Linked DNA regions of Oryctolagus cuniculus. The protein of the gene in region 2 interacts with the protein of the main gene of each other region in a pairwise test. Links are inferred from orthologs where the notes say so. Each region holds a gene or a part of one and is shown on either strand. Other genes may lie near its edges. The genes, in order: ANXA4 and PADI4.

Region 1 (4,567 bases), on a different chromosome or scaffold from region 2:
TCTAAACAATTTTTAAAAATATCTTTATTAAGAATATAGCATAAAATTTGCCATTTTAACTGATTTTAAGTATATGACTCAGTGGCATCAATTAGATTCTTAATAGCTATCACCATTATTTCCAAAATTTTTCATCACCTTAAATAGAAAACTCTGTCCTCATTAGTTAGATCTCCTTTCCTACCTACCCCTCGCTACTGGTTAACCTCTGATCTACTTTCTGTCTTTATGAATTTTCCTATTCTAGGTATTTTATGTGAGTAGAGTCATTTAATACTTGTTCTTTTGTGTCTGGCTTACTTCACTCAGCCCGGTGTTCCTAAGATCCATCCATGTTGCAGCACGTGTCAGAATCTTATTATTTTTCATGGCTGAGTAATATTCTATTGAGTAATATTCTATTGCACATACACACCATATTTTGATTACACATTCATCCACCGACGACAGCTGGGTTGTTTCGATTTTTGGACTATCCTGAATAATTCCATGAATGCTGGCATGCCAGGCTGTGTTGGAGTCTATTTCTTAATTCTTTGAGTTTATTGCCTAAAAGCACTCTTTCATATCACTGCTACTTCCAGTAGACCATAGTCCCTTAGGGCTCATCTCATTCATTTTTACATCCCTAAGCTGAGTACAAGCCAAACACATACACCATAGCACTGGGTGTGGGTCTGGTAAACAAGCGAATAATGATAATCATATTGTACATCTGTGAATCCCTCTGCAGCTTAGAAAGCATTGATCCATTTTTATTTGAGCTTCATAATGATCGTGAGGTAGGTAGGCAGGTCTGAGCTCTTATTTCTGGGAGTCTGCCAAGGGTCAAGCAACCAGTGCCAGATTCGTTGAGATTCAAATGCATATCCTCCTCTTTCTGACCCAATCTGATTCTCAACCTGTCTTGCTATCTTGCCTGTTATTTCTGACAATCACTGGTGAGAATACCCATTCTTACTAAAAACTGCTTACAGGACTGCAAATAAAGATTTTCCTGTAGAAGAGCTGGAGGAGACTGGAGGGGGTCTTGATTTGTCCTCATGCCTAGTGAAGCAGTTCTTCCTTGGAATTACACGATAAGAGTAATATTTTATTTTTGTATTATTTATTTATTCAAGAGGCAGAGAGAATGAGAGATGGACAGAGCTTCTAGCTGCTGGTTCACTCCAAAAATTCTGGCAAGGGTTGGGGCTGGGAACTCAATCCACGTCTCCCATGTGGGTGGCTGTGACTCATTACTTGAACCATCAGCTGCTGCCTCCCAGGGCCTATACTGGAAGCTGGAATCGGGAGCCGGAGCCAGGCATCAAGCCCATGCACTCTTATACAGGATGCCTATATATATATATATGTGTGTGTGTGTGTGTGTGTGTGTGTGTGTCTTAACCACATCTTTCAGAGTAATCTGTTAGCATCAGCAACTTGATGGCATTCATGTTCTGTGGGAAAACCTGAGGCAGTTTTGTGTGTCTCAAGCGTTCACACACACACACACACACAGCACCACAAAACCCTAACAGGTCTACTGCAGATTCTAGCCCTTGACTTCCAAACTCCCATCTGAACAGGGACTAGGGAACTAACTTGAATGAGCCAGCTGGCCGGGTACAAGGTGAAAAACAGCAGCTGGCACTTGGCTGGGACAGGGGGAATTGATACGTGTTTCCGCTGTGGCAGCCTGGAGAGCACACACTAGGTCCATAGAGGGCAGCTGGCACACAGATCCAGGTTGGCCGTGCCTTTCAACTTTCTTAAGAGAAGTAGAAATGAGCATATTTTGTGTGAATTTTAAGTATTTTTAATACTGGGAATGACCTCCAATTAAAAAAATCAGTAGCACCAAACTTGGTGTGAATCAGAGAAACATGGATGTTACCCTCTGGGGCGGGGAGCTCAGCTCTTCCCTGGTGTTCCTCCTGGCTCCCCTGCCAAATCCCTGGGTTCTCCAGCCACAGCAAGCACCCCTGCACCTCCAGGGCAGTGGTTCTCCACCTGCCTGCGCAGGAGAATCACTGGGGAGTGGGGAGAAACAAAAGTGCTATCCTGGCCCTGCTCCTGGTCATTCCTTAGGGCTCCCCAGGTGCAAACAGATTGAGAGCTCTCAATGCCAACTGGACTTCCTGCCTCCAGTGGTCAACTGTCCTCTGGTCAATTGTCCACAATGCAGCAAGAATATTTTAGAGGCTGGCGTTGTGATGCAGTAGGTTAAGTTCAAGTCCCAGCTGCTCCACTTCCGATCCAGCTTCTTGCCAATGCTCCTGGGAAAGCAGCAGATGATGGCCCAAATGCTTAGGCCCCTGCCACCCACATGGGGAGACCCAGATGGCATTCCAGGTTTCTGGCTTCAACCTGGCCTAGCCCTGGCCGGTGCAGCCATATGGGGAGTAAACCATCAGATGGAAGATTTCTTTCTTCTAACTCTTCCAAATAAAGACTTATTTATTCGAAAGATAGAGTTACAGGGATGCTGAATGCTTTAAAAACCTGCTCAGCCCTCCTGTGGCTGCTGTCTGTGGTCTTGATAAATGGCTCTGCATGTGCCCAAGATCTCATGCCCTCCCAGCCTCCTCCCCGTCCACGGCCACCCCTGCTCCTTGTCCCCAGTGCCCTTGGCTTCAGCTGCCCTGACCGCCTTGAAGTTTCACGGACACACTGGACCCTTGAGCGCGTGAACCTTCAGCTGTGTACAGTTGGAGAAGCCTGCGTGACACCCGTCACCAGGGCACTGCTACAGCGAGGGCGAGGGATCTGGGGCCGCTGCAGTGGCGCGGGGAGGTGACTCACATTGGTTCTGTCCTCAGAAAGATGGAAAGTCCCTTGAAAGCAGGGAGTACAATTCTGGCTCAACCCCGCTTGCCAACAGCCAAGTCCCGCGGACAGGAAGTCAGTCCCGAACTGAGCGGAAATGACGCTCTCCGGAAATGTTCTCCCCACCACTCAGCTGCTGGGGGAGGGAGCGCTGCCCAAACCGGAAGGAGCGTGGCAGGGTAACAGTGCGGAGCCTCTGTTTACCTGCCCACCTGCACCACCGCTTAGGAGGCCTGGCCCATGGGAACTGCAGTGGCGATCAAGCTTATTGCCCACTGTAAAGATGGGCAATTGACTAGACCTTTAAGAACTAGAAACTGTGAGCGGGAAAGTGCAGATGGGGACCGGCAGGGGAGCCCTACAATGGAGCATCCTGAAGGAATGGATATGTAGCGGCCCACGACGGGGAGGAGAGGAGGAGATTCCAGGCGGAGGAAGCAGCAGACGCAGAACTCTGGAGCCGAAGGCAAGTGCGGCAGGGTCAGTGCAGGTAATTTCCACACGTCTGAGCCGGAGTGACACTCTGACCCCCTCAAGCTCTGATGAAGCAGTTCCCAAACACAGCGCGTACAGTATCAGAAAGAGAAAGCTCCCCTCTGGTGAATTATGTCCCTAGTCTCAAGAATCTCTGAAGAGGTGTAGGTGGTTTGGCACACTAAAAAAATAGACACTGCCAGGGGCCGGCGCTGTGGTGTAGCGGGTAAAGCCGCCGCCTGCAGTGCTGGCATCCCATATGGGCGCCTGTAGGAGACCCAGCTGCTCCACTTCTGATTCAGCTCTCTGCTATGGCCTGGGAGGGCAGTAGAAGATGGCCCAAGTCCTTGGGCCCCCGCACCCACGAGACCCGGAAGAAGCTCCTGGCTTCAACTTAGCTCATTTCTGGCTGTTGCCACCATTTGGGGAGTGAACCAATGGATGGAAGACTTATTTCTCTCTCTCTCTCTCTCTCTCTCTCTCTCTGCCTTTCTGTAACTCTGCCTTTCAAATAAAAATAAATAGCTCTTTAAAAAAAAAAAAAGACACTGCCTTTAAAGTAAATCTTTATAAAAAATGACAGAGATTAATCTCCCATCTGCTGGTTCACTCATATGTGCAACACTCAGGGCTGGGCAAGGCCAAAGTTGGGGGCCAGGACCAACATCTTGGACTCCCTTGTGGGTGGTAGTGGCCCAAGTAGTTTGGCCATCTTCCACTGCTTTCCCAGCAGCATTGGCAGGAAGCTAGATCAGAAGTGCAGTAGTCAAGACTCAAACTGGCTCTCAAGATGGGATGTGGATGTCCCAAGGGACAGCTTAACCCGCTACTCCTGCCCCTCTCTCTACTTTTCTAGTAAATACAATTGATAGCTTTGGGATCCACAAGGAGGGAAGGCCTATACTTGAGGGAAGGCCTATACTTCCGGGAATGGAAAGTCCTTGTCAAGGTCCCCCGCGGTGCCTAAAGGTCAACCAATGAGGATCAGGCCCACCTCAACCTTTAACCCCCATGCCCTGAATCTATAAAAGGAGTTCTCCCAATCTCTGACTCGCGACACCCCACCCCCCACCCCGTTGCTCTGTTAGGGCCGTGGAACCTCGCCCAGGAGCAGAATCCCAATAAAAGCCTGTGAATTAATTGATTCGTCTGCCTGGGAAGATTTTTTACGCGTCAGACACCTTGCAACAATCACTTAAAAAAAAAAAAAATCTCTTGAGAGACTCTAGGAAAGAGAATTAGGAAGGGGGATGACCAACATCCAGGGAATAGTAATGTTTAT
Region 2 (3,390 bases):
CCGAGAAGGCAACTCGCAGGCTGAGCGTCTGCGCTTGGGACCACAGGTGTTTCCAATCTGTGTGTGTGTGTGTTTTTTTTTTTTTTTTTTTTTTTTTTTTTTTTTTTTTAGAGTTTGGAATATTGGCATGGACTTGATTGTCGAGTATCCCTAATGTGAAAATCCCAAATCTGAAAAATTTTGAGTGTTTTCTTGGCAACTCAGAAAGCTTCAGGTGTTGCAATACCTGCAGTTTTGGGACTTTCTGGTGGGTGGAGTTCAACAAACACACAGCAGCCTGTGGCCCCCCGCGGGCGCCAGGCCCTGCTTTGGGGGGCTCACGGCGCGGGGGCTCACAGAGCTGGGGCTCACGAAGCCAGGGCTCATGGACCAGACAAGGCCCATTTTGGGATGCTTTCTGCTGGCAGAGTGGAGCCCATAGGGAGCGGGGCAGAGAATGTCTGACGTCGACCCCTCCGTGCCCTGGCGCTGGCCGTGGGCTGTGCTTTTCTCAAAGGAGCTCCTGACTGGGAGAAGGTTCCCAGGCCGCATCTCTGGCCTCAGGGCTTTGCCACCGCCGCCTCCCGCCCCACCAGGTACGCTGAGCGACCTGAGGCCCAGGCACCTGCCCACCAGTCGGCTGCCTGTGTTTTATCTTTATTCTGACAAATACAGAACAGTGCATCGTGCTGACACAGCCACATTAACGCGGGCGAAGCCTCGGTGGGGCTGTCAGGGAAAGGATTTCAAAGACGGGTTCTGGGCCCCTCTTCCCTTCTTGAGTTTCTGTAGGGAGCTCAGAACCAACCAGGACCACGTTCGATATTTTTAAAATATTTTATTTATTTATTTCAAAGGCACAATTACATACAGTGAAAGACAGAGACAGGGAGAGGTCTTCCATCCGCTGGTTCACTCCCCAGATGGCCACAATGGCTGGAGCTGCACCGATCCGAAGCCAGGAGCCAGGAGCTTCTTCCGGGTCTCCCATGCGGGCGCAGGGGCCCAAGGACTTGGGCCATCTTCTACTGTTTCCCCAGGCCACAGCAGAGAGCTGGATCGGAAGTGGAGCAGCTGGGTCTCAAACCGCTGTCCATATGGGATGCTGGTGCCACAGGCAGAGGCTTAACCTAGTACACCACAGTGCTAGACCCCCTTATGCAAGATTTAAAAAAATATATTTTAAAAATGTTATTTGAGAGAAAGAAGATGCACCCATCTGCTGGCTTATGCCCTAAATGCAACAGCACTGAACCCAGCTGGGGCTGAAACCAGGAGCCGGGAGCTCCATCCGGGTCTCCCACGTGGGTAGCTTCAGCCGTCACCAGCGCCTCCCAGGGGCTGCAGGCAGGACGTGGACCAGCAGCGGAGCCCACGTACTCTGATGTAGGACTCAGCCACCTTCACTGCTAGGTCCAATGCCAGCCCCTCACGAGAGACTCTATCCACCGGCGCTAGGCCTGGGAGCGAAAGGCACACTCGGTAACGCTGGCTCCGAGACCCTGGCAATTCTGCGGTGCCAAGCGAGCTCGTGGTGAGTGACAGGAGCGACGGGTGGCCGTGGCGCACACAGGGACGGACAGCTTCCCTGCAGCTCCTCCAAGCACAGCTGAGTCTGCGACGCGGGGACCCTCGTGGGAACCTGGGGGGGGGGGCTCGGGGCTGGAGCCAGGAGAAGGGAAGTGAGCCGCCCCGGGGGGCTCCAGCTGCGCCACGCCACAGGGCGCCGGCCACCTCGGGCGGCAGGGGCAGGAGGGCGCCTGGCGAGCCCCGCGTTCAGGGCTCCATGCGCCACCACTTGAAGGCGAAGGGCTTCCGGCGCACGTTGGTGCCGCAGTGCACCTCGCCGTGCCGGACGTGGTAGGAGTAGAAGTCGTCGATGAAGGTGCAGCGCAGGCCCAGCGGCTCCAGCAGGGACCGCACCTTCTCCTCCAGGCAGCAGCGGCCGTTGATGATGGGGCCGAAGGGCTTGGGGATGCCCAGGTGCTTGCCCAGCACCAGCAGGTTCACCTGCGGCGGGAGGGAGGCCGCAGCCTGGGGTGTGGTCCGCGCATCCCCCCCCCCCCCCGACCTGTGTGGATGGGGAAACTGAGTCTTGCATGGGAAAAGGGCCAGCCCGCTGTTCTAGGACTGGTGCCAAGTCTCTCCCCCGCTGACCACCTTCTGGTCAAGCCCAACTCAGATGCCAGCCCCGCTGCGAAGCTGCCATGCATCCCCAAACTCTGGTTTCCATGGCAACAGTAAACAAGAGCCGGCGTGCCCAGGGACACAGTCAGTGCAGGGTCGCCCTCCCGAGTCCTTAGGGCGTCTCGTTCTCCGTGGCGGCTCGGCCCGAGCTGAGAGGCTCCCGTGGTTCACTCCCCTGCCTGTTCCACGACCACCGGGGAGCCAGCGGGTCTTGGCTCAGGCTCCCTGCAGGGGCCTCGCCGGCGGCTCAGAGCCAGCCCTCGGCCTGGCCCGTGGGTCATTCCAGGAGCCCTCCCCTAGCCGTCAGCACCCACTTCCGTTCCTGCACCAGAAGCCTGGCTCGGCCAAACCAGAGGGGACCGAGATGCCTGGGGCCAAGGGAGTTCAAAGGGTGGGGGAGGGGCTCTCCTCTTCTTTTAGCCCAGGGACCCTTTATTTACTTATTTATTTATTTGTTTGTTTTATTTCGGCCGAAAGCATTTATTAGACTGAAGGTTTCCTAAGACCTCTTGGAAAACCCGGTAATGTTTGCACAAATCATACACGTGGATAGATCCGTGCTGCAGGTGATACGCGGCCGGCGCTAGGCTCAGCCCGGGCAGGAGAGGGCCATGGGACCCCCATCCTATACAGGACCCTCTGCAGGGCTTCCATGCATGGAACACAGACAACCTGAGCCCCGGATTTGAGGCACCGCCTAGGCACCCCGGAGCCCTGGGGAACCCAGTCTGCAAACTGCCACATTAGGGGCTGCTGGCTGGTCTGGGGCTGCAAGCCCAGCGCTGGGGGAGGCGGCGGCCGAAGGGCCCTCGGGTGTTCTCAGAGGAGACGGGAGAGGGATGGGGGCTGTGACCGGGCTGGGCACTGGGGGTGGGGGGGTGTGACCCTCACATCTGTGCTCCTGCAGCTGGGGTCCCACCCAGCCGGGGAAGGGGTGGTACCACCTTCTCCTTGCAGAGGTCCCCCGGGGCCGCCCAGCCGAGGGCCCCACGTGCATGCCCTTCCTCGCACCTGTCGCGGCCAAGGGCGACTCTAGCCCTTCACGAGTGGCAGCCACCCCGGCCCGGAAGCTCTGAACCCTGTCCCCGCCGGTCCAGGGTTCTTGTGCCGGAACCACCCCTGAGCAGTGCGTGACCGGGAGACCCCCGGCGTCTAGGGCGCCCCCCTCACCATGTTGGGGAAGAAGGCGGCGGCCTTGAGGCGCTCCCTGCTGCCCCCCACGAG

Evidence for each region.
Region 1: the proteins of PADI4 (region 2) and ANXA4 interact in binary tests that used the Homo sapiens proteins (3 or more experiments, as listed by UniProt). The two-hybrid records come from large-scale screens. The link is inferred for Oryctolagus cuniculus from reciprocal best matches to the Homo sapiens genes PADI4 and ANXA4.

What each region holds. Positions count from the first base shown.
Region 1 is NC_091433.1:132,953,830-132,958,396, forward strand, and holds the start of ANXA4 (annexin A4), read right to left. Parts: upstream 2,897-4,567; 5' UTR 2,788-2,896; intron 1-2,787. UniProt on the Homo sapiens protein: Calcium/phospholipid-binding protein which promotes membrane fusion and is involved in exocytosis.
Region 2 is NC_091438.1:152,880,149-152,883,538, forward strand, and holds the end of PADI4 (protein-arginine deiminase type-4), read right to left. Parts: coding exon 3,337-3,390; intron 1,990-3,336; coding exon 1,756-1,989; 3' UTR 803-1,755; downstream 1-802. UniProt on the Homo sapiens protein: Catalyzes the citrullination/deimination of arginine residues of proteins such as histones, thereby playing a key role in histone code and regulation of stem cell maintenance.